Linked DNA regions of Callithrix jacchus. The protein of the gene in region 3 interacts with the protein of the main gene of each other region in a pairwise test. Links are inferred from orthologs where the notes say so. Each region holds a gene or a part of one and is shown on either strand. Other genes may lie near its edges. The genes, in order: FAM124B, PKP2, MTUS2, PPP1R18, C21H21orf58, SPG7 and CCDC60.

Region 1 (4,409 bases), on a different chromosome or scaffold from region 3:
CTTACAAGAAGGAAGAAAACCCAGGCTGGGATTTCAAGGCCCCAGAGAGGCAGTGCAGCAAATTTCTGGGTTCAAATCTTCCCTCAGCTACTTCTTAGCTGTGAGAACTTGGGCAAGTTACTTAGCCTTTCTATGCTCCAGTTTCTTCATCAATAATTTGGGGCTAGTAATCTCTTCTTCATAGGTTTATTGCAAGATTAAATTAATTTACATTAAGGGCTAGGCTCAGTGACTCATGCCTGTAATCCCAGCCACGTGGAACTGTGAGTCCATTAAATCTCTTTTTCTTTATAAATTACCCAGTCTTAGGTATGTCTTATAGCGATATAAATATGGACTAATATGGCTGGGTGTGGTGACTCACGCCTGTAATCATAGCACTTTGGGAGACCAAGGCGGGCAGATCACCTTGAGGTCAGGAGTTTGAGACCAGTCCGGCCAACATGGCAAAACCCATTCTCTACTAAAAATACCAAAAATTAGCCAGTTGTGATGGCACATCTGTAGTCCCAGTTACTGGGGAGGCTGAGGCAAGAGGATCTCTTGAACCTGCGAGTTGGAGGTTGCAGTGAGCCAAGATCATGCCACTGCACTCCAGTTTAGGTGATAGAGTGAGACTCCTTCTCCAAAAAAAAGTTTACATTAAGAATTAGAACAGTTTATGACTGGTACATAGTAGATCCTCAATAGACACTAAAAATTATAATTCTTAAGTATTTATTACAATTACATGAGCAATTATTGGAAAGCTCTCACTCTTTCTAAACAATTTACATGAATAGCTGGGTGCAGTGGCTCACGCCTATAATCCCAGCACTTTGGGAGGCCGGGGTGGGCAGATCACCTGAGGTCAGGAGTTCAAGACCAGCCTGGCCAACATGGGGAAACCTTGTCTCTACTAAAAATACAAAATTACCTGGTGGTGGTGCATGCCTGTAATCCCAGCTGCTCAGGAGGCTGAGGCAGGAGAATCCCTTGTACCCGGGAGCCAGAGGTTGTGGTGAGCCAAGATCATGCCATTTCACTCCAGCCTGGGCAACAAGAGCAAAACTCTGTCTCAAAAAAAAAAAAAAATTTTTTTTGCATGAATAAAGGAAGACTTATTTTCTCAATGTCTTTTTCGTACACTCAGAATTGTTAGTAGAGCAAATAAGTTTCAGTGAAGTCAAAATTATTGAGATAAAATACCTTCTCTTCATGCCCTAGCATAAAATGTTCAGAAACCAAATGAAATAAAGAGACAAAGGAAAAAAACCTTGGCAAGAGGTCAAGTTTTGAGCATTGTTTTCAAGAGATCATTGTATTCAGACTGGCTGCACAGGCTACTGTAAACCCTAAGTAGGAAGTGAGAGCCCGTTGTGCTGATAAAATGGCTGTCTTTTCAACTCAACAGATTGCTATCAGCCTGACAGAGCCAACTCCTGTTCCTTTTTACCGGGTCATTTCCTTTACTCACTGTCTGTAAGAGCCGCCCACTTGGGTGTTTCTCAGGATTATAGGTTTTGAGGTCACACTGAAACCCTGGGGAATGCCTGAAAAGCCAAACACAAGCGGTTACTTTATGCACAAGCTGGATGATGTGATCCCACTGCTGCCGCGTGGAGCGGAGGCTGCTGAACTTGAGCTTGTGTGAGCTGCTCTTATGGCAAGTCCGTGGGTGGCCAGGAGCACATGTCAGTCTGGTTAAGAGCTCTGCTCAGAAGTAGCCGCTGCAGCTGAAGGTTTTCGGGTGGGCTGAAGGCTGGGCTGCTCCTTCATTCATTTCAGAAGTTAAACAGTGGCCTGTTTAACTTCTTCGCATGCCATCTTTGTCATCGCCAGGCAGTTCCTCCATGGATGAGACACAGGGGCCTCTGGCCATGACTGTCCATCTTCTTGCCAACTCTGGGCACGGTTCGCTTCTGCAGACGACTCTGGACCAGCTCCTGGATTGCATTTGCCCAGAGGTCCGGCTCTTTCAGGTGTCTGAACGGGCCAGTCCTGTGAAATACTGTGAAAAGTCCCACTCCAAGCGGTCCCGGTTCCCAGGGATGTCCGTCTTGCTCTTTCTGCCCAAAAGCCTGGGAGAGGATCGGCTGTTTCACATCCTGGACTCTCTCCAACATTCGCCATGGCAGTACTACCCCACCCAGGACACTCGGGGAAGGCCGTGTCCCTACCTTCTTGCCAATCAGGAGTTCTACAGCCTGGACAGCCAGATGCCCATCTGGGGGGTGAGGCAGGTGCACTGTGGCTCTGAGATCCTAAGGGTGACGCTCTATTGCAGCTTTGATAACTATGAGGATGCCATCAGACTCTATGAGATGATCCTGCAGAGAGAAGCCACCTTGCAAAAGAGCAATTTTTGTTTCTTCGTGCTCTATGCCACCAACAGCTTTGCTCTGCAGCTCTCCCTGAAGCAGCTGCCCCCAGGAATGTCAGTGGACCCCAAAGATTCTTCGGTGCTGCAGTTTAAAGTTCGAGAGATTGGCCAGTTAGTGCCTCTGCTACCCAACCCATGCATTCCCATCAGCAGTACCAGGTGGCAGACTCAGGACTACGATGGCAACAAGATTCTGCTTCAGGTATTTCTGTTTTGTCTTTGTGATCGTGTAGCGGCTCATGGAGCTGTGTCATTTTACATCAGAAAGGGCCTAAGTTAGTGCTTCCCAGAGTCGGTTGCACTTCCACGTTTTTCAGGGGCTTTCAGAAATTCCCACCCCAGGCCAGTTTGATTGGAATCTCTGGGAGCATCCAGGCCTAGGAAACTTTTTTACAGCTACTTGGATGATTATAACCTGTAACAGGGTGGAGAGTCACCGATCTCGTAAAATCTCATCTGACAGATAAGAAAGTTCAGATTCCAGGAATTGGCAGCTGACACAAGTACTTTATAGTAGAATCAGACAGGATGCGACTATAAAGATCAGAATCTTTATAAAGAACCAGCCTCCTTTCTCAGGCTTGCCGTGTAAATGCCAATCAACTGTACCCATATCCTTTGCTTACCCTTTGAGCTCAGGAATGTCATAAATTCTTCCCATCTGACTAAGGAATTTGAAGTCATACTTATGTTTAGAGATGGTTTAATTTTTTTAATTTTTTAATTCCCTTCTCCTGATTGTACATTTTTTAATTTTTAAGAGATGGGAGTCTTCCTCTGTTGCCCAGACTGGAGTGCAGTGGTGCCATCACAGCTTTCTGAGATCTCCACCTTCTGGATTCAAGCGATCCTCCTGCCTTAGCCTCCTGACTAGCTGGGACTACAGGCACATGCTGCCATGTCCGGCTAATTTATTTTATTTCTATAGATGGGGTCTCGCTATGTTGACTGAGCTTGTTTAGGGATGTTAAATTAGCAGTGCTATTGACTTAATTTTTAAGCATCTTGCATTACTGTGAAATTTTACCACGCACCAAATTAGATAGAACCCTTTCTGAAAAAAAAAATTTTTAATTAAAGCCTTCCTTTGTAACCATCCTTGAAAACCTAATGCAGCATGTGTGTATTTAATCATGACAGCTGTCATGCGTTGCCTTTCATGGTATATGAGCCTGACCACTTAGTAGCTGTATGACCAAGGGCCTAGGTTTCTTCATCAGCACAATAAAGGCAAGGCAGAATTACCATCTTCCTCTCCCATATTGATTTACAGTAAATGACCTGACACTTACAAACTGCATAATTAAGACAGTGCCCAGAACTCAATTGGAGCTATTGTTCATATTATGCCCTATACTTAAGATTTTAAATTGATAATTTTATTTAATAAACACTTATAACAACCTATGGAGTTACTATTTTTCCCATTTTGGAGTTAAGAAAATTGAGCTGTACAGGAGGTCAGTTATTTGCCCAAGATAGGAAGTGTCTATTAATCTTCAAAGTTCATGTGGCCAGCCACTGCAGTCCCGTGGATGTGTGTAAATGTGTGGGCAGAGGGATGAATGTGATGTTCACGGCAAAATATCCTGTGGCTTCTCTCCTTAAGAAATGGTCAGAGGCCAGGTGTGGTGGCTCACACCTGTAATCCCAGCCCTTTAAGAGGTCGAGGTGGGTGGATCACCTGAGATCAGGAGTTAAAGACAAGCCTGGCCAACATGGTGAAACCCCAGCTCTACTAAAAATACAAAAAATTAGCTGGATGAGGTGGTGTGTGTCTGTAATCCCAGCTACTTGGGAGGCTGATGCAGGAGAATTGCTTGAACCCGGGAGGTGGAGATTGCAGTGAGCCAAGATCGCACCATTGCATTCCAGCATGGGAAACGAGCAAAACTCTGTCTAAAATAAAAAAAGGAAATGGTCAGAAACTCCTTAAGGCCTATCTGGATAAAGTAATAAGAGACTACGAGATGAGATATCTTTCCATTTAGTTAATTTAATTGTGATCATTTTGATATCTTTGTTAATAAAATATGAATCATATTGA
Region 2 (4,348 bases), on a different chromosome or scaffold from region 3:
ATTGCTTCCAGGACCCACATCCATATGGCTCCCACTTAGCCATATGGCCTGCTCACAAAGGATGGCAGAACTATCACCACTCTGTTGTCCAGGCTTTCAGTCCTTTGATTTCCTCTTCATGGGCACTCATGTAAAAAGGGAAGCTATATACCTGTGCATTAAGTGTGTGTCTAAGCATTCAGTGTGTGTCTAAGGGCAGAAGAGTGTGGGTAGGAAACCAGAGACGAGGGAACCTGCGTTCCCCAAACACTCCAGACTTGAATAAGTGGGGTTTTGCAGCAATTGAGTGATTTGAGGGAAAGTGAACATAAAAACCCAAGCCATCAAAGGGAAGATTATCTTACTTAATACCAGTGATACATGTTTTTCTTTCTGCCTCTTAAGTCCAAAGAGGAAAATCAAGACAAGTGGCTTTGGTTGTAAACTTTAAGGTCAAGGATCCTTTCTGTTGAGCTTAGCTCTCAGGTTCTCAGTAGTCAACTGTGTGTGAAACATAATTAATAGCACGATAAATACAAGTTGTGGAAGATTCGACTAAAAGTTGGAGGCCCTCTCCATGGATATCTCTGCAAAGAGCCTGTCATAAAGAGGACTTACTCAACGTTAGCAGGCCTATTTAAAAAAGCATCGTCCATTAAAATTCATTTCTTCTCCAGAGCCTCTTGTTGGAGTTTCTCTGTGTGGGTGTGTTCGTAAGAGAGGAATGGGTGAACCAGTTACTGGGTACAATTTGTGTATCTTCAAGAGAAAACAGCTCTCAATGAGGAAGAACATATGTTTCTGGGACTGCATCTGTGCAAAAAGTACATCGTCCTGAAGTTGTACTAAGAAAAAAAAAACAAACCACACTCTTAAAAAGTCTTTTATTTCACTCATGTCATCTTCTTGGCACATTTCCCCTCATATTGCCCTTTCCGCCTGAGCAAATAGCCCTTTCTTACCCTCAGGTCCAGCAAAACCAGGAAACGTGTCCAACAGTCCGACAAAGCCTGACTAACCAGACATACTACTCACTCGTGGATCCTGAAGACAAGCCTCAGTCCAAGAACAGCAGTAACTCGAGGGCGCACCTGCCTGCAAGGCAGCCCCTCCCTGTATCAAGCGGAAATTCATCCTGCCCAGCGCCGGGCGTGGGCAGAGCGGAGCGCAATCCCAGCAGGCTGTATCCGCCGGGACTTCGACCACGTGCGCGACCCCGGGCGAACCGCGCCCCTCTCCCCACCTCCCCGCGGGCGGGCGGGCTGGTCCAACTCACCAGGTGTCCGCGCGCGCGCAGCGGGGCCCGCCCCCGCCCCGCCCCGCCCCCAGGCCCGAGTGCGCGTGCCCGGCCGGAGCCGCGCCCCCCTCCCCAGGGAAGCCCGGGCGTTCGGCCCTCGAGGACGAGCTCCCCCAAGCCCGGGCCTCTCACCGGCGCGGGGGCGGGCCAGGGGCGGGGCCGGGGCCGGGCGGGGCGGGGCGGGGCTCGCGCCAGAGCCCCCAGCTCCGCCGCTGCTTCGCCCGCGAGTCCTGAGGCAGTCGAGCGGCTTGGTCGCCCCCACCGACCCCATGGCAGCCCCCGGCGCCCCAGCTGAGTACGGCTACATCCGGACCGTACTGGGCCAGCAGATCCTGGGACAACTGGACAGCTCCAGCCTGGCGCTGCCCTCCGAGGCCAAGCTGAAGCTGGCGGGGAGCAACTGCCGCGGCGGCCAGACGGTCAAGAGCCTGCGGATCCAGGAGCAGGTGCAGCAGACCCTCGCCCGGAAGGGCCGCAGCTCTGTGGGCAACGGTGAGTGGAGCCCGCGGCTCCCTGGCGCCGCCTCCTGGCCCGCACCCCGTTACCCCATCCTATCCTGCCCTCACCCCACTTGCTGGGAGTGCAGAACCTGGTGTTCTGCCCACCTGTTGCTCGCCGCCCTCGGTATGACGGGTTTGCTTGTGGAAAGCACTCTTTTCCATAACCTGTTACTTAGCTTTGTCATATAGGTACATATGTATGTTAAATATTGTACATATCTGTCAATGTTAAAGAACTCACTTGGAAATTTAACCCCTTTCTTTTTCTACTCCGCCCGTCCGCACCCCTCGCTGGTGCGGACTGAATTTGGAGGTTCAGGGAGTCGAGCAACACCTTGAGATGCTATGCAGAATTTTGGTATGTACTATCTTTTTCTGGGAGAAGGAGCCCTTCTTCACTTTTATTAGATTCTTTAAATAGTTAATGACCCCCATAAATATCTTGAAAAAGAAAACCCGACAGCACAGGTGCTCCTACAACCTATAAATTGGGATTGTGCTGTTTTGTGCAAGTACTTCGGGGCGCTCCAAGTGTAGGAGGCGAGTGGTGGATCTAAGGAGTGAAAAAAGTGGCTAGGAGGCTTTGGTCCTGGGAACAAACACGCCCAGGAGAAAGGGGACTTTGGCCCTGCCGGCAACACCCCTGCCCTCCTGGCTGCGCTTCCCACCCCCACCAATGCGGGCGTGGTGCAAGGCTGACCCTCCAAAAAATTAAACATGGAGGTGAAAGGGGTGTAAGCACACACACGCATACTATGTCTGTGATCGATAGACGGGGGAGGTGGAAGGGCAAGAAGATGGCAAGCCACTTGTGAAAATTAGGGAACATGATGTATCCTTTTCTCCTCTGCTAAAGTCAGGTGATCGATCAACTCAGTAACTCTTGTTGTGCGTGTGAGTTTGCATTATAAAAGCACTATGTTGGCTTACTATAGCAAAAAGTTTTAAAGAAGAGGAAAGAAATTGAGTAATTAAGTTGGAATATCTGTTTCCTCCATGTTCAACTGTTTCTGTATGAAGTAACTTGTGCATTGGTGAATGTAGGCTAACCCATTCTAATTTCTATTAGGAAAATAGAAAAATCCTAACAGGCCAGACCACAGTTTTAGAACAGTAGAGTCTGGGAGGCTATACTGTTTATATAAACGAATCCTAAAGAATCAGGTAGTCAATGATTATATATTAGAAAGGTATAGAGAAGATGTTCAAAGATTGTAGTTAATATAACTGAGTGCCTACTATGTGCCAAGAACTGGGCAATGTAGTTTGCATTCATTTTATATGTGTGTGTGTGTGTGTGTGTGTATTAATTTTATATATATATATATACAGTTTGTATTTAAAAACTTGTAATGAGCTAGGTATTTCAATCCTCATTTTACAGATAAGGAAACTAAGCAGTTAAGTAACACTTAAGTTCTCATAGATGGTAACTGGCAGAGTTGGTATTTAAACTCCCAAACGTGAATTTTAAACCTCTTAGCAGTTTTATCATTAAGTTTTAAAATTATTAATACAAAATGGGATTTATTAGATGCTAAGCCTCTCGGTGGCCCCCTTCCATTTTTCTCTAAATAAAATTTAGGATGTTCTGAAAAGCTGGGGAGGTCTAGACAACACAGAACTGCCACAATACCTGGGGGGGAAAGACCTTAAATTTAGACTTAGGTGTCTGACCAAAGACTACGGGATGACTGAGGCCAATCTTTGACCCGTGGAGCCATTACACCCATTCAAACTAAAACCAAACCAGCTTCCTCCACGTGAGGAACACAGGAGGCATGTTAGTTATTCTTTCTTATCCTTTGAGAATGGCCAGCCAGGAAGAACAAGCAGATACAACTATTCCTAAATGGAGGGAATGGAGCCATGAACAGAAGAAAAGGGAATGTTGCTGGGCATCTATATACTTTGTGCCTATTCCAGAATCTTTATTATATCCTTAAAACAATTGTGTGAGATAGGTATGAGAATCCATCTCACATATGAAGTATTTGTCTGTCAGCATTTGTTGGAAGTGTAATCCCAGCTCCATACATAATCTGTTCTCTCTACAGTATAATGCATCAGTTGTGTGGTGAATTCAGCAAGCATCAGATGAGCATGTTCTTCATACAGGGTACTGTGCAGGTGCTGAATTAAACACAAAGACTCTGCTTGCTTTAAGCAAGAAGTTGAAAGTCTAAGGAAGGAGGCCAACCTCTAGAAAAATACTTTACCAAATAAAAAGTAGTAAGTGACCCAAAAGAATAGCTAGTGTATTATGGAGTTTAGAAGTATAAATTGTTTGGACGTGGTAGTTCGTGTCTGTAATCCCAGCACGTTGAGAGGCTAAGGTGGGTGGATCATCTAAGGTCGGGAGTTCAAGACCAGCCTGACCAACATGGAGAAACCCTATCTCTACTCGGAATACAAAATTAACCAGGCATAGTGGTGCATGCCTGTAATCTCAGCTACTCAGGAGGCTGAGGCAGGAGAATCTCACTTGAACCTGGGAGGCAGAGATTGCAGTAAGCAGAGATTATGCCATTGCAATCCAGCATGGACAAAACTCCTTCTCAAAACAAAAAAC
Region 3 (3,735 bases):
TGGACGACAGAGTGAGACCCTGTCTCTGTCTCTCATATATGTATGTGTGTGTGTGTGTGTGTGTGTGTGTGTGTGTGTGTGTGTGTGTGTGTATTATATATATGTATATTTTTCTTTGGAAGAATTCACGGGACACCCTAGTTTCCGTGTTTTGATGTTACAGAAATGGTGCTGTAACAGAGCTTTGGACTGGTCTGCATGAGTGAGACACGAAGGGTGAAGCGCTTCTTGGGCATCAGTGGTCCTTTGCCAGCCTGTGGTGTGGGGAGTCATGGGCAGGCTGAGTGGGACAGAGTCAGCGCAGGTGCATCTGCCCTGGGAGCTGGGGAAGGGGCATGGTGTCCCCATAGACACTCCTGCTTTCCTTCAACCTGCAGGTGGAGAGCCGCCAGCTGCCCCCCTAGCTGACGGGCATGGGAAGGCAGAGGGCTGGGAGTGCCAGTCTGGCCAGGGAGCGGGTCTCAGCAGGGAGGAGGAGACTGTGTGGACTCAGCTTCCATGTGAGCTCCTATCAGGGACATGAAACCCAGCTGTCAGGCCAGGAAGGCTGCGTGGGAGCCAGAATGAAGCAGGAGTGAGAGGCAGCTGGCTGGAGGAGGGCACTGCCAGCAGGAGAGCTGGCGTGAGAGGAGAGGGAGGCAGCGAGGCGGGAGGGTGCTGCGTTAGGGAGTGTACACGGCACCTTGAGGGCAGTGGGGTAGGAGGTCGGGGAAGGACAGGTTCCGCTTTGCACATTAGAAAGAGGGCTTGACTGCAGCGTGAGGGTAAAGGAGTGATACTTCAGGAGAAAGAAGAATCGTGTCAGGATGGAGCCAGCCGAGTGGCTGAGCTCAGGGGAGTCTGTGGCTTCTAGGGACATTCAGGAGGCAGGATAGCAGGGCTCGGTGGCCAGAAGGTTTGGTGATGTGAGAGGGATCCCAAGGCAGAGAAAGAAGTGAAGGAGGGTTGGAAGGGTTCTGGATTGAGCTTCATAAATGAGAATGATTCTTTGAAGTACCTTCACTGTGGTCCTTCCCAAAGCCAGGGCTGGGTGCCTCCTGGCCCAGACGCCTCTCCCTGAGGATTGTCTGCTTCTATAGGATCAGATGTTGTGAGATGCCCCCCGGTTCACAGTGTTTTTGTGGTTTCTTCCTGACAAAGAGCCAAGAAGGGCAAGCCACGGGTAGGCGTTGGGGGAAACCATGCCCATCATGTGATTTTGGGGGTCCCCTTGGGCACCTCTTTCTTCAGTCCCAAGGGAGACACTCTAAGGATGCTGAAGAAAGTGGTGGCCTGCTGATTGAAGCTGCCCCAGCTGTGGCAGCGGCAGGCTGTAGCGCCCCCAGCTGGACTCCTCATGTCATTACTCCAGGACCAGGTGGACACGCTGACCTTCCAGAGCCAGTCTCTGCGGGACAGAGCACGCCGCTTCGAAGAGGCCTTGAGGAAGAGCACGGAGGAGCAGCTGGAGGTAGTTTCGGGATTCCAGGCTTCCAGCCCCAGGCCACGGGACTCCCTCAGCAGTCTTGTCCCAAGACAAGGCCTCTCTGTGAATCCCTTGCTGAAGTGACAGCTGGTCACGACCTCCCCTGGATTTGTAAACAATTTCTGTCAGCACATCTCCCCAGAGTCAGACAGCAGCTGTGGATTTCTCCAGCTACGTGTTATTTTTGCCAAATTCCACAGCATTGCCCAGCCGAGGTTCCGGGGCCCCTGTGATCAGCATGGTCCGGCAACCCCCGACCCTTGCCCGACCACCCCTTCCATCTCATTCTCCCCCAGCTTTTTAGGCTGACACGGGCAGCCTTGGCTACAGCAGGAGTTAATAGGTTGAGGGGAATTTTTTTCAGGAAATCTGGCAAAACTCCTTCTCTCTAACGTAGGGTTGCCAAATAAGATACAAGACACGCAGTTAAATTTGAATTACAGGTAAATAAATTTTTGAGTCTAAGTATGTCCCAAGCAATACTTGTGCTCACTTTTTTAAAACGTGCTTTATCTGAAATTTGAATTTAACAGGACATACCATGTTTTAATTTGCTATATCCAGCAGCACTACTGTAATGTGTCTTTTTCCAAAATGGCTTTTCTGCTTCTTAAGCCACTCTGCTCATTTCCTGTGCATGGGCTCTTTATGGGTATAGGTGGGACCCAGAAGAGCCCCAGCTACCAGTCATCCAGGTGAATGTTAAAGGCTAGTGTTGGGTTTACTCTTTCGACCCATGAGTTCCCTGCTGGGCATGGGCTGGCAGCATCCAGCATTTCCGGAATCAAACTTCCCAGTGGACGATGGCTGTGTGTCACCTGCTCCCGCACAGAATGGGTTCCCAGGGGGAAGCAGCAGGACCCCTTCATCAGGGAAGACTGCGAGCATCCTCTGTCTTTGCTGTGCAATTGCTATTGGGGCGTTGGTCCAGAGGCTGGATTTAGCTGGATTAGTGATATTGGTTAATACTGGGTTTTGCCGGGAGCCCCGGTCAACATTTTATGGCTCTCTGCCCCTGTAGATTGCACTGGCTCCTTATCAGCACTTGGAAGAAGACATGAAGAGTCTGAAGCAGGTATTAGAGATGAAGAATCAGCAAATACACGAGCAGGAAAAGAAGATTCTTGAGCTGGAAAAGCTGGTGAGTTGGTCTGTTTGCATGGGAGTGACTAACCTCCATGACGCTCCTCCTGTCGTTCCTGATGTCATTGCTGATGGTGTTCGGCCAGGTGTGTCCCTTACCTGCCCATTGCTTATACCTAAGCAGAAAATCCCATGGCTGGCCTTTCCTGGGAAGCCAGGAGCTCTGATAAGAAATCTTAGAGGTGGCCTCACCTTGTCCAACTCTGAAACCTTCCTGACAGGCGGCCTCTTTCTGCTTCACCCTGGTTTTCTGGCAATTGCACTGTCTCTACACCCTGTCTTGGGGACATGTGGTGACCCAGCAGGATACAGCATCTCCAGTGCCCAGGCACTGCACAGAGCACTTTCCCTGAGTGAGCCTGCTCCTAACTCCGACAGCTGCCTGTGGAGCAGCTGCTGCCATGAGCCGCTTTACAGATGCCGGAGATGGTGCTAAGGAGCCCCTGCCCAGTGCTTCGAGTCCCCACAAGGCAGAAGGGGCCAGGGATCTTCCTGGGGCCCTTTTTATAAGGGTATTAATCCCATTCACAGGGGCTCACCTTCTGGATCTGATCCCCTCCCCAAAGCTCCGCCTCCTTGGGGGTTAGGTTTCAGCACAGGAATTTTGGGGGACACAAACATTCAGCCCAGAACAGCGTCCCTGCTCTCACTGACACTCACCCAGCTCAGCCCACCAGCCTGGCTCCTGCAGAGCTGGCAAAAGTCACCCCCTAGGGGACACAGAACACGCAGGATTTCACCCCCTACGCTGGGGCACAAGCATCCACCCCACCCCCCCATCACCCCCACCCTCCCTGGCCAGGGCTAGAGTCCCAGAAAGGTGTGCAAAGGGAGTGGCAGGGAAGCCTCCTTCCAAGGGCAGCCCATCTTGATCTGGAAGTTGGCCCCAGGATCTCAGATTCTTATTTTTTCCCTTTATTATTATTACTTTAAAAATACACTTTTGATACTACCAAAAATAATATATGTACTTTGGGAAACTATGAAATAAGATAAACCGAAGAAAAGCAGATTATAACATCATATTCCTACCAGTGCTTATACTTTCCAGAACTTTTTCTCTGTAAGGCAGTGTCTGTATGCACACACACACACAGCCCAGGTATTATATCATCTAAGCGTTTTAT
Region 4 (3,735 bases), on a different chromosome or scaffold from region 3:
CTCCCTAATCCCTTTGGCTCCTAGACTTAATCCCACCCTGCCCCTTCCCCCTGAGCTTCTTAAGAGGGCAAAGGGGAAGGGTAGAAAGGCAGTCAGAACAGCTGGGACTCTCCTGCTCTTGGGACAGTGTGATTACCAAGGGTTTTCTGTGCCCTATCTGGTCTTCTGTCTCTGTACCTGTCCCTTCGGACACACTGTCGACCCCCACCCCAGGTCTGTGTGGACTTTCCTTTCTGCCATTGTCATCTCCCCCAGCATTTCAGGGTTTCAGAGGCTCACCTTTCCCGTGTGTTGCAGAAGTCTCTTGGTTCCTCTGGGCCTTTCTGTTCGTCTCCCATCTCTTCCCAGGCCCTAGACCCCCTTTGCTATGGATAGGAGAGAGGAATAAGGGGAGTGGGAGGGAACAGGTGCCCAGGGTCCTGAGTTTTGCATAGGACAGCAAGGGGCTGTGGATATGAAAACCTTACTTTTGGCTGAGACTCACTCCCCAGCTAGTTCCTTCCCCACTGGCCAGCCTGCTGGCTCCTCCGGGAAATCTACTCCACTGCCCCAAGGTGCCCAAAGACTCAGTTCTGATCATAAGACTTGTTTCCATGTATTTTAATTTCTTTTTACCCCTCTGCCTCCCACAGTCGAAGGAGCAGGGACCTTGGTCCTATATTATTCACTCTGCCTCCCAAGCCCCTGCCAATGTACAGGGCAAAGTCTGATGTTTTGAAATGCTATGATCGAAGAGGGAAGCTCTAGGATTGGAGAGTCAGTATGGAAAGGAAAACTGGATCCCAGAGTGGATGGGGACAGTGAGTGGGGTGCTTAAGTCCAGCCCCAACACCATGTTCCACGTGTCCCACCTGCCCCCTTGTAGACTCCCCCTCAACCCCGGATTCCCCTGCAACCCCCCACGGGTTTCTCCCTCACTGACCTTGTCTCCTGCCCCCTTTTTTCCCTCCTTCAGCTTAAGATCTCCTTCAGCGAGACAGCCCTGGAGACCACGTACCAATACCCCTCCGAGAGTTCGGTACTGGAGGAGTTGGGCCCGGAGCCTGAGGTCCCCAGTTCCCCCAACCCCCCAGCAACCCAACCCGACGATGAAGAGGATGAGGAAGAGCTGCTGCTACTGCAGCCAGAGCTCCAGGGCGGGCTTCGCACCAAGGCCCTGATTGTGGGTAAGCAGAGGCTCCGCCGGCCCGAGGGCGCCCCCTGCTGTCAGATTGGGCGCTGTGGTCCAGGAGGGAAGAGAAGGGAGGGACTTCATGTAGGCGCTTGGAAGGGGCTTGGCAGGTCCTCTGGTCCAACCTGCTCCTTTAACAGATGAGCAAACTGAGGTCCCAGGAAATGAAATACACACTGAGTCTTCAGGTTTCAAAACCAGAACACTTCCCAAGTCCTGTAATCTGGTTAAAACCACAGGGTGGGTGAACAGGCCTGAGTTGGAATTTCAGCTTGTCTCCTAATTGTGTAATCTCAGAGAAACCGTCTGATCTCTGGCTTTAGTGTATTATTTATGAAATGAAGTTAATGATAACTACCTCCTGTGGCTCGTGCCTGTAATTCCAGCACTTCAGGAGGCCAAGATGGGTGGATCGCTTGAGCCTAGGAGTTCAAGATCAGCCTAGGCAACATGGCAAAATCCTGTCTCTACAAAAAAATACAAAAATTAGTCAGGTGTGGTGGTACACAGTTGTGGTTCCAGCTACTCAGGAGGCTGAGGTGGGAGGATCGCTTGACTTCAGGAGTTGGAGGCTGCAATGAGCTGACTGCAGTGTACCACCACTGCACTCCAACCTGGGCAACAGAGGAAGACCCTGTCTCAAAAGAAATAAACAGGCCTGGCACAGTGGCTTACACCTGTAATCCCAGCACTTTGGGAGGCCAAGGCAGGTGGATCACTCAAGGTCGGAAGTTCAAGAGCAGCCTGGCCAACATGGTGAAACCCTGTCTCTACTAAAAATACAAAAATTGGCCAGGCATGGTGGCTCATGCTTACAATCCTAGTACTTTGGGAGGCCAAGGCGGGTGGATCACCTGAGGTCAGGAGTTCGACACAAGCCTGGCCAACATGGTGAAACCCCATCTCAAAAAAATAAAATAAAATAAATTAAATAGGCCAGGTGTGGCGGCTCACGCCTATAATCTCAGCACTTTGGGAGGCCGAGGTGGGTGGATCACCTGAGGTTAGGAGTTCAAGCCCAGCCCAGCCAACATGGTGAAACCCTGTCTTTAAAAAAAATAATTAATTAAATAAATAAAAATACAAAACTTAGCCAGGCATGGAGGTGGACACCTGTAATCCCTGTTACTTGGGAGACCAAGGCAGGAGAATCCCTTGAACCTGGAAAGCAGAGGTTGCACTGAGCTGAGATGGTGCCAGTACACTCCTGCCTGGGCAACAGACAGAGACTCCATCACAAAAAAAAAAAAAAAAAAAAAAGCTACTTCCTGGAGTTGTTGAAAAGAAAGTTATTTATTTATTTATTTGAGACAGACTCTTCCTCTGTCATCCAGACTGGAATCCAGTGACACAATCTCGACTCACTGCAACCTCTGCCTCTCAAGTTCAAGTGATTCTCATTCCTCAGCCTCCAGAGTAGCTGGGATTACAGGCATGTACCATCACATCTGGCTAATTATTGTATTTTTAGTGGAGATGGGATTTCGCCATGTTGGCTGGGCTGGTCTTGTACTCCTGACCTCAAGTGATCCTCCTGCCTCAGCCTCCCAAAGTGCTGGGATTAGATTAAGTAATTTTTGTGAAGCGCCGAGAGCCACAGCTGGATATCAAATTACTTACTCTTTCCTGGAGTTATGGTAAGATTAAACAGTTGGAAGGATGCCTGGCACAGAGTTCAAGCTAAATGAGAGATGGATGATGTTATTGGTGGGAAGGTGCTTTAGATATGAAAGCTATTATAAGACTTCCTGCATGCCAACTGCCCTTCAATTTGTGTGCGGGGGCGGGGGGGGGAAAGGAGGGCAGGAAGTAGAGGCTCTCACTCATTCTCTGTCATTATTGCCTCCTCTCCCATAGATGAGTCCTGCCGGCGGTGACCATCTTCCAATATAGGGATATACGTCCCTCCTTCCTATAACTGAAGATCCTGGAGCCTGGAAGATTCAGGGCAGACAGACCCTAATAATGAGCCTGGCAGGGAAGGGCAACCACCGTCTTCTAACTTGCTTTCCCCACCCTGTTTCTGGGGGCAGAGCCAATTGCCCAATTTCTACCCTAATCCGAAATCCCTAGTGTGGGTGGGGTTAAACGTGCTGGTGCATCCTAGGTGATCCAAGAGTGAGCACCAAGTCCTGAGAAGGAGCACGGAACTCCCGGAGGGTGGAGATGGAGCACCTGCCCCCGCCCCCGTGGCAGGGTACGCTCTTCCCATAGCCTTCCTCCCCACCATCCCGTGGGGGATCTCAGGATTTAAGCACTCGTTTCTCTGGGAGGCCCAGACCCCATTCCATTTATAGACACATCTCCTTTATTTCCTAAGTCACTGCCCCTTTGTTTACAGTTCCTGCCTCCTGTCTTGACCACAGCCTGGTTTACAAATTCCACCAGCTCCCAGCTCCACCTGCCAAAGTCCCAGGTTTACAAGCCACACTTACTTGCTGTGTCTGCGTGGAATTCTCTCCTCTGTCCCCTCTTATCTCCTCATTGGAGTGGCCTGAAGGTGCGGCTTCCTCCACTTTTTCTCAGTATTACTTTGCCTCAGTTTTCCCCAAGAGGGAAGGCTG
Region 5 (4,444 bases), on a different chromosome or scaffold from region 3:
TCTCTTCCATGAACTTCCTCTGTGAGCATGACCTCCTATGGGCTGGCCGGCCTTCACCCTATCACTCACTGGTCCAGCTCCAGGCGCCCCACATGGATGTGGGTTGGGAGACAGGACAGGCACACAAGCATAGATACTGATGGGCATGGCCATTTACAAAACTGAGGGCAATTTTGGCCACTGAGGCAAGTTTCTGGGTCAGCTGCACTGAGGAGGGTGCTAACCTCCGACCCTCTGGTCCACAGGTCTGGCCCCCTGCTGCTGACATCCCCCAGATGTCAGTCTGCTTGCTTAGTGGGATTGACTAACTCGTCAATGTGGAGTTTAATGCCCAGCCAAGTGCAGACCACACTCCTGACTTGTGTCTGCCCTTTGCGAAGCTTCCTGCACACCTGGCTCCTTGCCTGGTCCTGCTGTAGCCCAGCCCCTCTGCAGGTCACAACCACTTCTCTGTCCCGCCCCTTTTGCTGCTGGAATTTCTTGAACAACTTGGTAGGCAGTCTCCCCACCCTGTCCTCCCAGTTGAGGAACTGCCCTCCCTCCTAGCTTGGAGGGTCCCTAGGAGGGGAGGAGCCGCCATGTCCTAGAGGCAGTGCACAGAGGTGGGGCGCCCTCCCCTGACACACAGGCTCTTCTGGGCTGCGTCTTGAGGCTGCTGGTGCATGGGGGTCAAGGCTGTCCCCTTCCCCTAGGTCTGAGAGCTCTGCCCCTCTGCCTCAGCTGCTGCCAACTTTTTTGCCTTCCCACGAAGCCCAGCCAGCCACACCTGGAGATGAGTGTTTGCAGGTAGCAGCCTAAGGACGCGAAGTGGAAACCTGGCAACCTGGGGCCTCCCTGCGTCCGGCAGCCTGGCAACTGCCATGTGGAGCCCAGCCCTGGCTTGTGGGGCACTGCAGTCCAGGGAGGCTGCAGCTCTTCTCTCCCCTGGGGCTGGTTTCCAGGAGGTTGGGCCAGCCCTGCAGGTGACACTGGTGCTTGGGCTCCTGCTGAGCAGTTATCTCCTGCGAGTAGCAGAACCAGGGAGGGAGGCGGGCTGCGGCCTTCCCTGCCTGGTACTGTCATCCTGTAGCTCCCACCATGCTGGACTCAACAGCAGCAGAGCAAGTGACGCGGCTGACGCTGAAGCTCTTGAGACAGGTAAAGCAGAGCCTGGGATGCTCCTGTTTTTAACAACTCCAGGCTGCAGCATTGGAGGGACTCTGAGACAGCCCTGCAGGGGACCCATCCTCAGACTGGGTGGCACATGAACAGCCTGCCTGTCCTCCTGGCCCACTGAGCACAGGGTCCAGGGGAGCCTTGGTGCTGGGGGCTCCTCTGCACCCCCTGCCTGCATTGTTCCCCCTCCTGCTGCCTGAGGGACCTGCTGTCTGCCTTTTGCCAGCCCTGCGCTCCACACCCTGCATCCTGGCCCACTGCCACCGTGGGAGGGACTCACCCTAGGACATATCCAGCAGCTAGCTGCTCAGCTCAGGGTCCAGGTGGGGGTGATCCAGGCATGCCCTGGCTGGGAAGCCTGGAGGCCTCACCAGGTCTCTCCCGGGGTTGCTCTTCAGAAATCTGCCTGAAGGGGCCACTCACAGCATCTATCCTTAGACCTGCAGATGGGGCATTTGCTGGAGGTCAGGCTTACAGAGGCAGCTCACAGAGGAGATCCTCGGAGGGGCTCACCTCCCACCTTTGGCCCTGGAGGGGCTGGGTTACTCCTGACGTACAGTTCTATTCACTCAGAAAGCCTCTTAGTCATTCCTGGAGCACACAGGGCCTTTGCCTGGAGCCAGTGTCCCTGTCACGGTCTCTTTTCCTCACAGAAGCTGGAGCAAGAACGGGAGAATACGGAAGGGGGGCCTGAGGGCCTCCACCTCGAGCCAGGTGAGAGCGCTGGGCTGCTTGGAACCAGCACAGGCGGGCGCAAGTATACCTTCTCCAGGGAGGTGGGCACAGCAGCTCCGGGAATCACCCCACTCCTGGTATAGTGAGACTGTCCTTAATTCATTTCCTTTACATTCAGACTTGAGGACATCCCCATGCCTTATCACCTTTAGTCTGCAGACCCCAAAAGGGGCCCCACTTTGCAGATGAGAAAATGGAGGCAGAGAGAGGTTGGCTGAGCTGTCTGGGGTCACTCAGCCTGTGCTCAGCCTGTAAGTGGTCACACCGGGTCAGACCCAGATGCTCTGGTTCCAGAGGCTGAGCTTGCCCGTTGGTTGGGGTGGGGTTGCTGTCCTCACTGCTGCCTGGAGACCTCTGGGGAGGAGGTGAGGAGGCCAAAGGAACATTTCCTGTTCTTTGAACATGGGGCAGCCTGTGACCTGTAGGGGCAGCTGCCAAGGGCAGAGCTCAGAGTCTCAAATAGAGAGAAAGTCCCAAACCAGGTCTGCACAGCCAGTGAGAGGTGACAGAATGGCAACCAGTGCCTGGGGCAGAGGGTTTGGGGAGCCCCAAAGACTGACTGGGGTTTCCAGGAGCCCCGCTCCAGTGTGATGCTGGGTGAGGGGCAGGACCCTGCCCCTCGCCTTCTGGAGCCTTCTCTTGAGTGCAGACCATCCCCCAAGGCGTATAGACTTTTTTGTTTTTTTGTGTTTTTTTGAGACGGAGTTTCTCTCTTGTTACCCAGGCTGGAGTGCAATGGCGCCATCTCGGCTCACCGCAACCTCCGCCTCCTGGGTTCAAGCAATTCTCCTGCCTCAGCCTCCTGAGTAGCTGGGATTACAGACGCGCACCATCATGCCCAGCTAATTTTTGTATTTTTAGTAGAGACGGGGTTTCACCATGTTGACCAGGATGGTCTCGATCTCTTGACCTCATGATCCACCCGCCTCGGCCTCCCAAAGTGCTGGGATTACAGGCTTGAGCCACCGCGCCCGGCTGACTTTTTTGTGTTTTTGAGAAGGAGACGCGCTCTGTCACCCAGGCTAGAGTGCAGTAGTGTGATCTCGTCTCACCGCAACCTCCACCTCCTGGGTTCGAGCAATTCTCCTGCCTCAGCGTCCCGATTAGCTGGGACTACAGGTGCGCGCCACCATGCCCAAAGTGCTGGGATTATAGGTGTGAGCCACCGTGCCCGGCTGACTTTTTTGTTTTTTTGAGAAGGTGACATGCTCTGTCACCCAGGCTGGAGTGCAGTGGTGTGATCTCGACTCACTGCAACCTCTGTCTCTCAGGTTCAAACAATTCTCCTGCCCGGCTCACTTTTGTATTTTTAGTAGAGACGAGGTTTTGCCATGTTGGCCAGGCTGGACTCAAACTCCTGATCTGAAGTGATCCGCTCACCTCAGCCTCCCAAAGTGCTGAGATTACAGGTGTGAGTCACTGCACCTGGCCAGTGTGCTGAGACAGGGTTGGTCTCGCTCTGTTGCCCAGGCTGGAGTGTGGTGTGGCATGCTCATAGCTCACTGCACCCTCGACCTCCTGAGGTCAGTCCTCCCAGCTCAGCCTTCCAGTGTTGAGATCACAGGCAGGAGCCACCTTGCCCAGACTGAGGGGCAGACTAGAGGGACTTGCAGACACTTGGGGGTCAGACCAGACTCTGGACTGCTTGGGGCCAGAGGGTGGCTCCAGGTAGCCAAGGTCAGGCTGCAGCCAGCCCCGTAGAAGCCTTGGCCTCCTGGAGGCCAGGGACTCTGTACGAAAGGTACTCGGGAGGAATCTGGCCATGTGACTTCAGCCTCCCTTCCAGGAATGAGGTGACCACAGGCCAGACTCTGACACTTGAGTGCCCTGGGTTGCCCCTGCCCTGATGCTGCCCTTGCCCTCTTACCCAGCACGCGTCCCTCTTTCTCTGGGATAACCTGAGCCCAGGAGCCTCCCAGCCCGCCCCTATCCCAGGAGAGTGGGTGAGGCGGCGCATTCCACACGGGTGCAGTGCTGTCCGAGTGCTTGCAGCAACAGCCTGTGTGTGTTCTTCCGTGAGCAAGCAGGTGTTTCCCTCCAGGAAATGAGGACCAGCTGGATGATGCCCTGCAGACTGCTCTGAAGAGAAGGAGGGAGCTTCTGCAGAGACTCCAGGTGAGCCCTACACCGCTGAGCAAAGCCGGCAGGGCTCACTGTGGCGGAGACGGCTGCTCAGGTCGAGGGTGAGGGGAAGACCTTTCTGGACTCTCAGGGCCGGGCCCTAGCAAGGCCACTGTTAGCTTAGAGACCCTCCTGAGTGCAAGTTTCCATCAGGGCTGGAAATGTTGAGTAGGAGGACCTGGAATGGTAGGATGCCAGGAGGTTTGCTCCCATGGCACTCACCAAAGATGCCTCTGAGTGGCAGAGATGCCCAGGAGGTGGGGCCTCTTTACTAGCGGGAAGATCTTTGCAGCGAGTTGGCCTGAAACTGACTTGAAAAAGAAAGCAGACCCTGTTGGCTGGGAAAAGGAAACAACAAGACAAGCTGACATGATTTGGTAAATTTTAGGAGTGCCACCCTCATGCGCATACCCCTTGAAGGGTCTTCCAGCTA
Region 6 (4,162 bases), on a different chromosome or scaffold from region 3:
TCCCAGCTACTCGGGAGGCTGAGGCAGGAGAATTGCCTGAACCCAGGAGGCGGAGGTTGTGGTGAGCCGAGATCGCGCCATCGCACTCCAGCCTGGGTAACAACAGCGAAACTCCGTCTCAAAAAAAAAAAAAACAAAATTCCCCGAGCGTTAGGGGCCGAGGAGGAGGAGGAGGAGAACCGCAGCCCGCTGGCTTTGCCGTCTAGTCCGCGGCGGTGGAGGGAGCGCAGGCCCAGATGCGAGACCGGCCTCGAAACTGTGCACTGACTTCGGAGCTGTGGTCCTGGGCTAGTTACTCTGAATGCGTGTGAACCTGTTTCCCCGTTTACAGAAGAGCCGGGTTCCTGCCCGGCTGTGTCGGACGCGGGCCGGGCACTCGGATGCCGGCTGCCGCGCGCACGCGCCGTCCCGGGTTCGGGAAACAAGCGTGAAGGTGCGTGAGTCTCCTCCACGTGCAACAGACCGCGCTAGTCTCCGCTGTTCCTACTCCACGGCCAGGCAGCTCCCGGCGTCAGCTCGGGACCTCAGGCGGACGGACGACGGGGCGGGGGACCTGGGAGCCCACGAGGGACCCTGCCCGGGCCTGGAGTGCGGACCCCGAAGAGAACAGAGCCTTCTTCCCGGCTTCCGGGCAGCGCCTCCCCGCTTCCCACGCTGGGCTCGCGCAGCGCCCGGGACAAACCCTGACCGGACTCCCGGGGCACGACGGGGGCCCGAAGCGCCTCCGAGGAGAGTCGGTCGGAGCGGACGGGGCCCGCGCTCCGCTCAGAGCTCCGCGCACTCCAGCCAGGCCGCGCCCCGCCGCGCGCTCCCCGCCTCAGGACCCGCCTCGTCCGGGCTGCCCTTCCTGGATCGGCTGCAGCTCCGGTTCTCGTCCTCCGGCTGCTCAAGAAGCGGGAAACCCGCCCCGTTCCTGCGCTTCTCAGCCCGAAGGGGTGATTCGGACCCGCGACGTCCGCCCGCGCCTGTGACGGAGCCCTGCGGGGGACCAGGCTGCCTGCGAGGGCGGCCCCTCGGCGCGGGCGGAGCGCGACCACGCAGCCAGGACCCGGCCAGTTATTCACCCGCCAGGCTCGGAACATACAAGGCGGGCGTCAAAAACCAACACGGCAGCCGCGGCCCCCCACTAAACCGGCCCCGCTGCTGCAGGGCCTCAGGCGGCTGCGAGAGAGCCCGGCTAGCACGGCGGGTGGGGCAGGCGGCACCCGGTGCGCAGGCGCCCGGTAGGCCCCGCCCACACAGCGCAGGCGTCCGGTAGGCCCCGCCCACACCGCGCAGGCGCCCCGTGGTGGCCCGCGGCTCGCGCAGGCGCGGCTTCAGGCCAGCATGGCGGCTGTGCTGCTGCTGCTCCGCGCCCTTCGCCGGTGCCCTGGTCCGGGTCCTGGGCGGCTGTGGGGCCCAGGCCCGGCCTGGAGTCCAGGGTTCCCCGCGGGGCCCGGGAGGGGGCGGCCGTACGTGGCTAGCAGGCCTCCGTGGGGCCTCCCTGAGGCTGGAGGCCAAGCCGTACAGGTAAATCTTCGCGGCGTCCGGGCCCCACCTCCCGCCCCGCCCTTTTGGCGACGATCTGCTCGGTAGCGCCGCGCCGGGAGGGTCGGTGTCAGAGGCCGCCTGGCCCCTGTGGCGGGGGAGCCTGCGCCAGTGGGCCCGCGAGTCCTCCAGCTGCGCCCCGTCGGCGTCGGGAAGGCGTCTGGAGGGGAGCCGGGAGCGGACCTGGAGCGTGGGCACTGGACGGGTTGGGAAGGGGCAGGACTGGGATCCGCGCAGCCCTCGGCGTGGGCTTTCCCACCCCTTCTGTTGTGTTTGGGTATTTTCCCCCCTCTCTCTGGGGTTTTTGTTGTTTGTTTGTTCTGGCTGCAGTGCAGTGGCCTGATCTCACTGCAACCTCCGCCTTCCGGGTTCAAAGCGATTCTTCTCAGCCTCTGGAGGAGCTGGTAGTAGACGCGCTTTTTTTGCATTTTTAGTAGAGACGGAGTTTCACCATGTTAGCCAAGACTGATCTCGAACTCCTGACCTCAAGTGATCCGCCTGCCTTGGCTTCCCAAAGTGATGGGATTACAGGCGTGAGCCGCGGCTCCTGGCCCTCCCTCGTCTTTTAAAGTGGAATCCGGTAACAGTTTCCCGCGGATCAATAATTTACAGTCCGCACCTGTGGCTGGATTCAGTCCCCCCCAGGAATCCCAGCGCCTTCCAGTTATGGTGCTCGATGCCGAGTGGCCGGCCCAGAAAGTTTCTGTGTGCGCAGAAACGCTGTAGTTGCATTTTGCTGTTGCAGTTTGGAACCATACTGACACAAAGTCATTGAGCACCCCCTGTGGGGAAGCCTTGTTTCAAGTGCTGCGAAGTATACCATCTCCTCCCGAAAACCAGACTCTGAGTCTTGATCTTTTGGCCTGATGCTTTTTCTCCTATCCTTCTCCTGGGAGCTTACTTAGCCCACACATTTTCGGTTGCTGTTTATTTAGTTATTTTTGAGACAGAGTCTGGCTCTGTCGCCCAGGCTGGAATGCAGTGATGGGATGTCGGTTCACTGTGGCCTCGACCTTCTGGACTCCAGTGATTCTCCTACCTCATCCTCCTGACGTGAAAGGCCTTAGCGAGGCATGGGCCACCGCACGTCTCTAACTTCTGTATTTTTTTTTTTTTTTTGAAAAGATGGTGTCTCCCAATGTTGCTTAGCTTTGCCGCTGATCTTTAGAACTTAAAACACATTTAAATGGGAAAATGTTTATCTTGAAAGGAGGTCGTTGAAAATACATACTTGTTAACTGGTTTAGTACCTGGAAATGTTCTGCATGGAGCCACTCTCTGGTGACAGCAGGAGCACAGGGTCTTCGCAGCCACTGTGGCCTTTGGAGAGCTGGGATGGTCCCTTCTCCCGGCAGAAGCTTCAGGCCATGCGATAGCAGCCAGTACCCTGCTGTGTTTTGTTTTCTTGAGTTGCCCAGGCTGGTCTTGAAGTCTTGAGCTCAAGCAGTGCTCCCAACTCGGCCTCCCACAGACCTGCGCCACTGTGCCTGGCCACTACTATGGTGGTTTTTTGTGTGTGTGTGTGTGAGACGGACTTTCGCTCGTTACCCAGGCTGGAGTGCAATGGCGCGATCTCGGCTCACCGCAACCTCCGCCTCCTGGGTTCAGGCAATTCTCCTGCCTCAGCCTCCTGAGTAGCTGGGATTACAGGCACGCGCCACCATGCCCAGCTAATTTTTTGTATTTTTAGTAGAGACAGGGTTTCACTATGTTGACCCAGGATGGTCTGGATCCCTTGACCTCGTGATCCACCCGCCTCGGCCTCCCAAAGTGCTGGGATTACAGGCTTGAGCTGCCGTGTCCGGCGCCGTTTTTGTTTTTTTGAGACGGAGTCTCCATTTGTCTCCCAGGCTGCAGTGCAGTGGCGCCATCTAGGCTCACTGCAACCTCCCCTTCCAGGTTCAAGCAATTCTCCTGCCTCAGCTTCCTGAGTAGCCGAGATTACAGGCGTCTCCCACCACACCTGGCTAATTTTTGTGTTTTTAGTAGATCTCAGGTTTCACCATCATGGCCAGGCTGGTCTTGAACTCCTGACCTCAGGTGATCCAGTCATCTAGGCCTCCCAAAGTTCTGGTATTACAGGCGGGAGCAATCTCTCCTGGCCAACTACTGTGTTTTAACCTGTTTGCTTGCTTTCGACATTTTGATGTTACCTTAAAGCTTTGAAATACTGCGTAGACTGTTACCTCATTTTTCAGGGCAGTGTAGATATTACAAATAATTATATGTTTGAACTTTTAAAAGTGATTTTTAGGCTGGGCGCCGTGGCTCATGACTAATCCCAGCACTTTGGGAGGCTGAGGCAGGTGGATCACCTGAGGTCAGAAGTTCGAGACCAGTCTGGCCAACATGGTGAAACCCCATCTCTTAAAAAAAAAGATTTTTAGTCTGTGTTGCTTTGGTATTTTGTTATGTTGGTGTGACCTCTGGTATTGGGATTTTTTTTTTCAGAGCTTACAGTTGCGACTGCTAACCCCTACCTTTGAAGGGATCAATGGACTTTTATTGAAACAACATTTACTTCAGAATCCGATCAGACTCTGGCACCTTTTAGGTATGTATCTGTTGAAAGAAGCAGCTGAGCATGACATTGCAGGCCTGTATCCCACTACACTACTTGGGAGGCTGAGGCGGG
Region 7 (4,218 bases), on a different chromosome or scaffold from region 3:
TGATGTCAGGGAATAATAATAGTACCACTTAGCTAGGACGCCCCATGGGCTCAGCCTTCATATGCATTATCCACTTCAATTCTTAACAACCTGTGGCAAAGCTATTATCCCCATTTTAAAGACATAGAAGCCAAACTCAGCAAAGTTAGGCATCTAAGTGCTTACAAGCTTGGTCTTTAGACTCAAACCACCCTGGCTTTGAATCTCAGCTGCAGCACTTGTGTGACTTTAAACATGTCATTTAATGTCTCTATGCCTCAGTTGCTTAGTCTGTAAAATGGGGTAATAAAACACCTTCTTTAAAGAGGTGCTGTATGGATTGAGTCAATATGTGTAAAACACTTAGAACAGTGTCTAGCACATCCTAAGCCCTTAATAAATGTCATGTGTACACATGCCTCCACATACAAATACATCTATACACACATATACATGTGTATATATGTATATTCACATTTGTGTGTATATGTATATGCATGTGCATATATCTATATATAGCAGTCCCTTTTCTTTGCTCCCACATTACCCTATGATACTACCCTACTATGATAATACCCTATGATAAATCACCCTGCTTTATAACAGTATTTCTTATCCTTTGTTCTCCAGCCCAAACATACACAATATACATCGTGAGATTCTTGAAGGCGAGTCTCTTTTGTGGTGATGGTGGTGGTGGTGGTGGTGGTTTGAGATGGAGTTTCGCTCTTGTTGACCAGGCTGGAGTGCAATGGCGCGATTTCGGCTCACAGCAACCTCCGCCTCCTGGGTTCAAGCGATTCTGCCTCAGCCTCTCGAGTAGTTGGGATTACAGACACACACCACCATGCCTGGCTAATTTTTGTGTATTTTTAGTAGAGACGGGGTTTCGCCATGTTGCCCAGGCTGGTCTCGAACACCTGGCCTCAGGTGATCCGCCCGCCTCGGACTCCACCGGCTGAAATACCAGTATTTCTTTTTATAAAATGAAGGGGTTCTGAAGGATGAATAGGAGTTTGTCAGGTGGAAAAACGGGAGAAATAGGCATCTAGGGTTAAGAATTACAGGATTACAGGCCACCCACCCCACGGCACAAAAATCACTAGTGGGTTAGCAGTAGGACAGAGCAGAGTTTGAAAGCAAGGAGTCGCTTGTAGTCAGAGAGAAAGTGTATGGTCCTCAGGCCTGAAAAGAGAAACCAGTTGGTCCAGAGAATGCGGCTGGCTCGGGGGCATCGGGCCTCATCAGGCAGCTGAGAGCCGGCGGCGTCCCAGCAACCTGGGAGAGTTCACGACCCCCCACGACCACGCCCCCACCAATTCCAGCCAATGAGGAAGCTCTCCTTGGCGTCCCGTTGCCAAGCAACCACGTGTCTCTCCCCCGCCCCCCGCGGGGGTTAGCAGTTGCCTACCTTCCCCACAGAGCGATAAGCCCCTCTTTAGGGCCGCCTTAGTTCTCGGGCGCTCTTGGAGGATGGGGATCTGGGAGACCCTCCATGGGACTCTCCCGCACACTTTGTCGCTGGAATTTTATGTTTTTTAGTTCATATTTATTTTGCTTATAGAAAAGGAAGATACCCCTTCCGAAGACGAGGAAGCTTACAGAAGTTTATAATCTTTCAAAAAGTAATCCCAGGCTCGCCTTATTCTGCTCTAACCGGACTTCCTTATCCCGTCTGTGGGAGACCCAGGTGCTTTCTCATTACTTCTCAGATGGAAACCGTTTTGGAATTCGTGTAATTGGGACCTGGGGATCAAGGAGAAGTTGCCGGAACCTCTCATAGCAGTGGCTGCTGAAGTAGAAGATTCTAGAAAAACCCTTGCCTTGGAGACGCAGGCTAAAAAGCCTGAACGATTTTTAAGATGACCAAGTTTCCAGCCACCAAAAAGCTTCAGAGTTCCCCCAACGCGGGGGCTGTCCGGCCCTTTTATGCCTCGGAGAACCTAAAGCAGGTAAGTCTTCCCTCTCTGCGGAAACCAATCATGTCTTTCAGAGCAAGTGAAATAGGAATTAGCCTCGATACCAACAAGGAAGAGAGGGGAGAGAGGGGAGTCATGGAGTAATTAAATTGTCGAGACACATCCCCGTTGCTATCAATGGTTGGTTTCTCGTAAAGAATGAAAACGCAAACCAGAGCGGTGAGCTGGGCCATCCTATTAGCCAGTAATTCCAGAATGATGGAATAAATCAGCAGTGACACTGTAGAACATCAGGAAAAAATTAAGATAAATTGAAGGTTTGCCGTCCGCAGAAACTTACTCTCAGAGATCTGTTGGTCTCGGGGAACAGGCACATCCCCTCTCTCTATGAAGAGGCTCTAGAGTGTCAACTTTTGGGGTTTGAAGGCTAGGTTTGCCACGCACCAGCTGTGTGACTTTAGACAGGTTAATTGCTTAGCGTCTCTGAGGTTTTATTTCCTTGTGTCTATGAAATTAGAACAGGAACATCAATTTAGGAGCAGTCTGAGGACTAAATGGAATAATTTATGAAAATTGTCCATTGTGATGTTAACGCTGGATAATGTGTTTATGGGACATGGAACAGTGTTGTTGATTTGAAAAGCAAAGAAAAATCGATATGTACTGAGTGACTGGAGTCAATGGTTCCTGTTTTTAAATGATCATAACTGGGTAAGCACAACTCTAAGTGTGCACTTGTTATTGTACCCTCACACCCCACTTTGCGTGGATTGGCCAAGGTCAGCAATGCTGGTCCACCCTGGTGCATCCACAGGGCACACTTGTGGTTCACGGCCATGCCCCAGGAAGGAGGGCCTGGCGGGTGGTCAGTCCATGACGGAGAGCTTAAAACTCACTAGTGGCTAGATGTGGTGGCTCACACCTGTAATCCCAGCACTTTGGGAGGCTGAGGCAGGCGGATCATGAGGTCAGGAGTTTGAGGCCAGCCTGGCCAACATAGTGAAACCCCATCTCTACTAAAAATAAAAAAAATTAGCTGGGTGTGGTGGTGTGTGCCTGTAATACCAGCTACTCAGGAGGCTGAGGCAGAAGAATTGCTTGAACCCAGAAAGCGGAGCTTTCAGTGAGCCAAGATCGCGCCACTGCACTCCAGCCTGGGCGACAATGCCAAACTCCATTTCAAAAATAAATAAATAAATAAATTGCCAATGCTCTCCATGTGGTACAAAACGTTCCCGAGCTGCTCTTCTCTAAAGTTTAACCTATCTCTGTGTACTCCTCATTACTCAGCACTCTTAGGGAGACCACTCTGCATGACTGCATGATACAGCCTTTTTCCATCTCCTTTCATCTCAAAATACTACCCAGAAGGATGTTCAATCCCGAGTAAACCCTGCTGGGACTGAACTTCCCAGCATAGCAGTGGGGGAATGAATGAGGGATAAAATGAAGAAGGAAATGGACGCTTCAATAGCAAGGGTGAGCATCAAAGCAGGAGCAGCAGACAGAATCACCCTGGGTTTGGATCTGCCTCTTAGCAGCCCTGTGGCCTTGGGCAAGTTGAGCTTCAGTGTTGCCATCTGCAAAATGGGGATATCATAGTTTCCTCATGGGATTGCTGTGAGCATTAAATGAGTAACTGTATGCCAAACGCTATGAGCACAGTTCTGACATATGGGAAGCACACGTTAGGTTTTAGTTATATTGTCATTTCATTTATTTAGTAAAGATTTATTGAACCTCCGTTAGGTGCTAAACACTTGCTCTAGTTAAAAATGAGACCTGCCTTTGAATCTCACAATCTATAGTGTGTATGCTTGGGACTGGGAATAAAAGAGATAAGAAACATTGTTATAATGCAGGTTAATTAATGGTGTGTTGAGGAAGTATCAGAGGGTGTTGTGGGAGCAAAGAAAAGGGATAGCTAATTTAGATTAGTGTGTGTGTGTGTGTGTGTGTGTGCGTGCGTGCATGTGTGTGTGTGTGTCTGTATGTTGGATTTGGGGAAGAAACAAGCCATGTACTCAAATAAATGCAATAGGTTTTTCATCCTGGCATACACAGAGAGATGTAGAGAGTGGAGGAAGATGCGGAACTTGAAATGATCATCTCTTTCTTCGGAGGAGAGTAGTGGGACTCAGGGAGGTCAAGGGATGGGAAGAAGGCTTCTGGGGAACTGTTGGATAGACCAAGACTTCCAGCCCAAAAGCCTCATTGAAATCTTTCTGCACCCCTCTCTACTTTCTAGAAAATAATGAAGACCCCAGGGGGTCCCTAGCTCACATTCAAAAGATCATGCCTTTAGGAATTTCAAGGTTTT

Evidence for each region.
Region 1: the proteins of MTUS2 (region 3) and FAM124B interact in binary tests that used the Homo sapiens proteins (3 or more experiments, as listed by UniProt). The link is inferred for Callithrix jacchus from reciprocal best matches to the Homo sapiens genes MTUS2 and FAM124B.
Region 2: the proteins of MTUS2 (region 3) and PKP2 interact in binary tests that used the Homo sapiens proteins (3 or more experiments, as listed by UniProt). The two-hybrid records come from large-scale screens. The link is inferred for Callithrix jacchus from reciprocal best matches to the Homo sapiens genes MTUS2 and PKP2.
Region 4: the proteins of MTUS2 (region 3) and PPP1R18 interact in binary tests that used the Homo sapiens proteins (3 or more experiments, as listed by UniProt). The two-hybrid records come from large-scale screens. The link is inferred for Callithrix jacchus from reciprocal best matches to the Homo sapiens genes MTUS2 and PPP1R18.
Region 5: the proteins of MTUS2 (region 3) and C21H21orf58 interact in a two-hybrid assay, tested with the Homo sapiens proteins (3 studies listed by BioGRID and IntAct). The two-hybrid records come from large-scale screens. The link is inferred for Callithrix jacchus from reciprocal best matches to the Homo sapiens genes MTUS2 and C21orf58.
Region 6: the proteins of MTUS2 (region 3) and SPG7 interact in binary tests that used the Homo sapiens proteins (3 or more experiments, as listed by UniProt). The two-hybrid records come from large-scale screens. The link is inferred for Callithrix jacchus from reciprocal best matches to the Homo sapiens genes MTUS2 and SPG7.
Region 7: the proteins of MTUS2 (region 3) and CCDC60 interact in binary tests that used the Homo sapiens proteins (3 or more experiments, as listed by UniProt). The two-hybrid records come from large-scale screens. The link is inferred for Callithrix jacchus from reciprocal best matches to the Homo sapiens genes MTUS2 and CCDC60.

The regions. Positions count from the first base shown.
Region 1 is NC_133507.1:146,128,706-146,133,114, reverse strand, and holds the start of FAM124B (protein FAM124B), read left to right. Parts: upstream 1-1,523; 5' UTR 1,524-1,799; coding exon 1,800-2,564; intron 2,565-4,409.
Region 2 is NC_133510.1:38,555,969-38,560,316, forward strand, and holds the start of PKP2 (plakophilin-2), read left to right. Parts: upstream 1-1,499; 5' UTR 1,500-1,545; coding exon 1,546-1,768; exon of another isoform or gene 1,769-2,121; coding exon of another isoform or gene 2,122-2,134; intron 2,135-4,348. UniProt on the Homo sapiens protein: A component of desmosome cell-cell junctions which are required for positive regulation of cellular adhesion.
Region 3 is NC_133506.1:148,703,425-148,707,159, forward strand, and holds part of MTUS2 (microtubule-associated tumor suppressor candidate 2), read left to right. Parts: intron 1-1,351; coding exon 1,352-1,450; intron 1,451-2,486; coding exon 2,487-2,606; intron 2,607-3,735. UniProt on the Homo sapiens protein: Binds microtubules. Together with MAPRE1 may target the microtubule depolymerase KIF2C to the plus-end of microtubules. May regulate the dynamics of microtubules at their growing distal tip.
Region 4 is NC_133505.1:35,475,582-35,479,316, reverse strand, and holds part of PPP1R18 (phostensin), read left to right. Parts: intron 1-955; coding exon 956-1,166; intron 1,167-3,028; coding exon 3,029-3,048; 3' UTR 3,049-3,735.
Region 5 is NC_133522.1:51,899,691-51,904,134, reverse strand, and holds the start of C21H21orf58 (uncharacterized protein C21orf58 homolog), read left to right. Parts: upstream 1-1,469; 5' UTR 1,470-1,601; coding exon 1,602-1,869; intron 1,870-3,931; coding exon 3,932-4,005; intron 4,006-4,444.
Region 6 is NC_133521.1:47,155,801-47,159,962, forward strand, and holds the start of SPG7 (mitochondrial inner membrane m-AAA protease component paraplegin), read left to right. Parts: upstream 1-1,306; 5' UTR 1,307-1,326; coding exon 1,327-1,509; exon of another isoform or gene 1,510-1,931; intron 1,932-3,978; coding exon 3,979-4,081; intron 4,082-4,162. UniProt on the Homo sapiens protein: Catalytic component of the m-AAA protease, a protease that plays a key role in proteostasis of inner mitochondrial membrane proteins, and which is essential for axonal and neuron development.
Region 7 is NC_133510.1:122,438,094-122,442,311, forward strand, and holds the start of CCDC60 (coiled-coil domain-containing protein 60), read left to right. Parts: upstream 1-1,348; 5' UTR 1,349-1,604; exon of another isoform or gene 1,605-1,691; 5' UTR 1,692-1,841; coding exon 1,842-1,931; intron 1,932-4,218.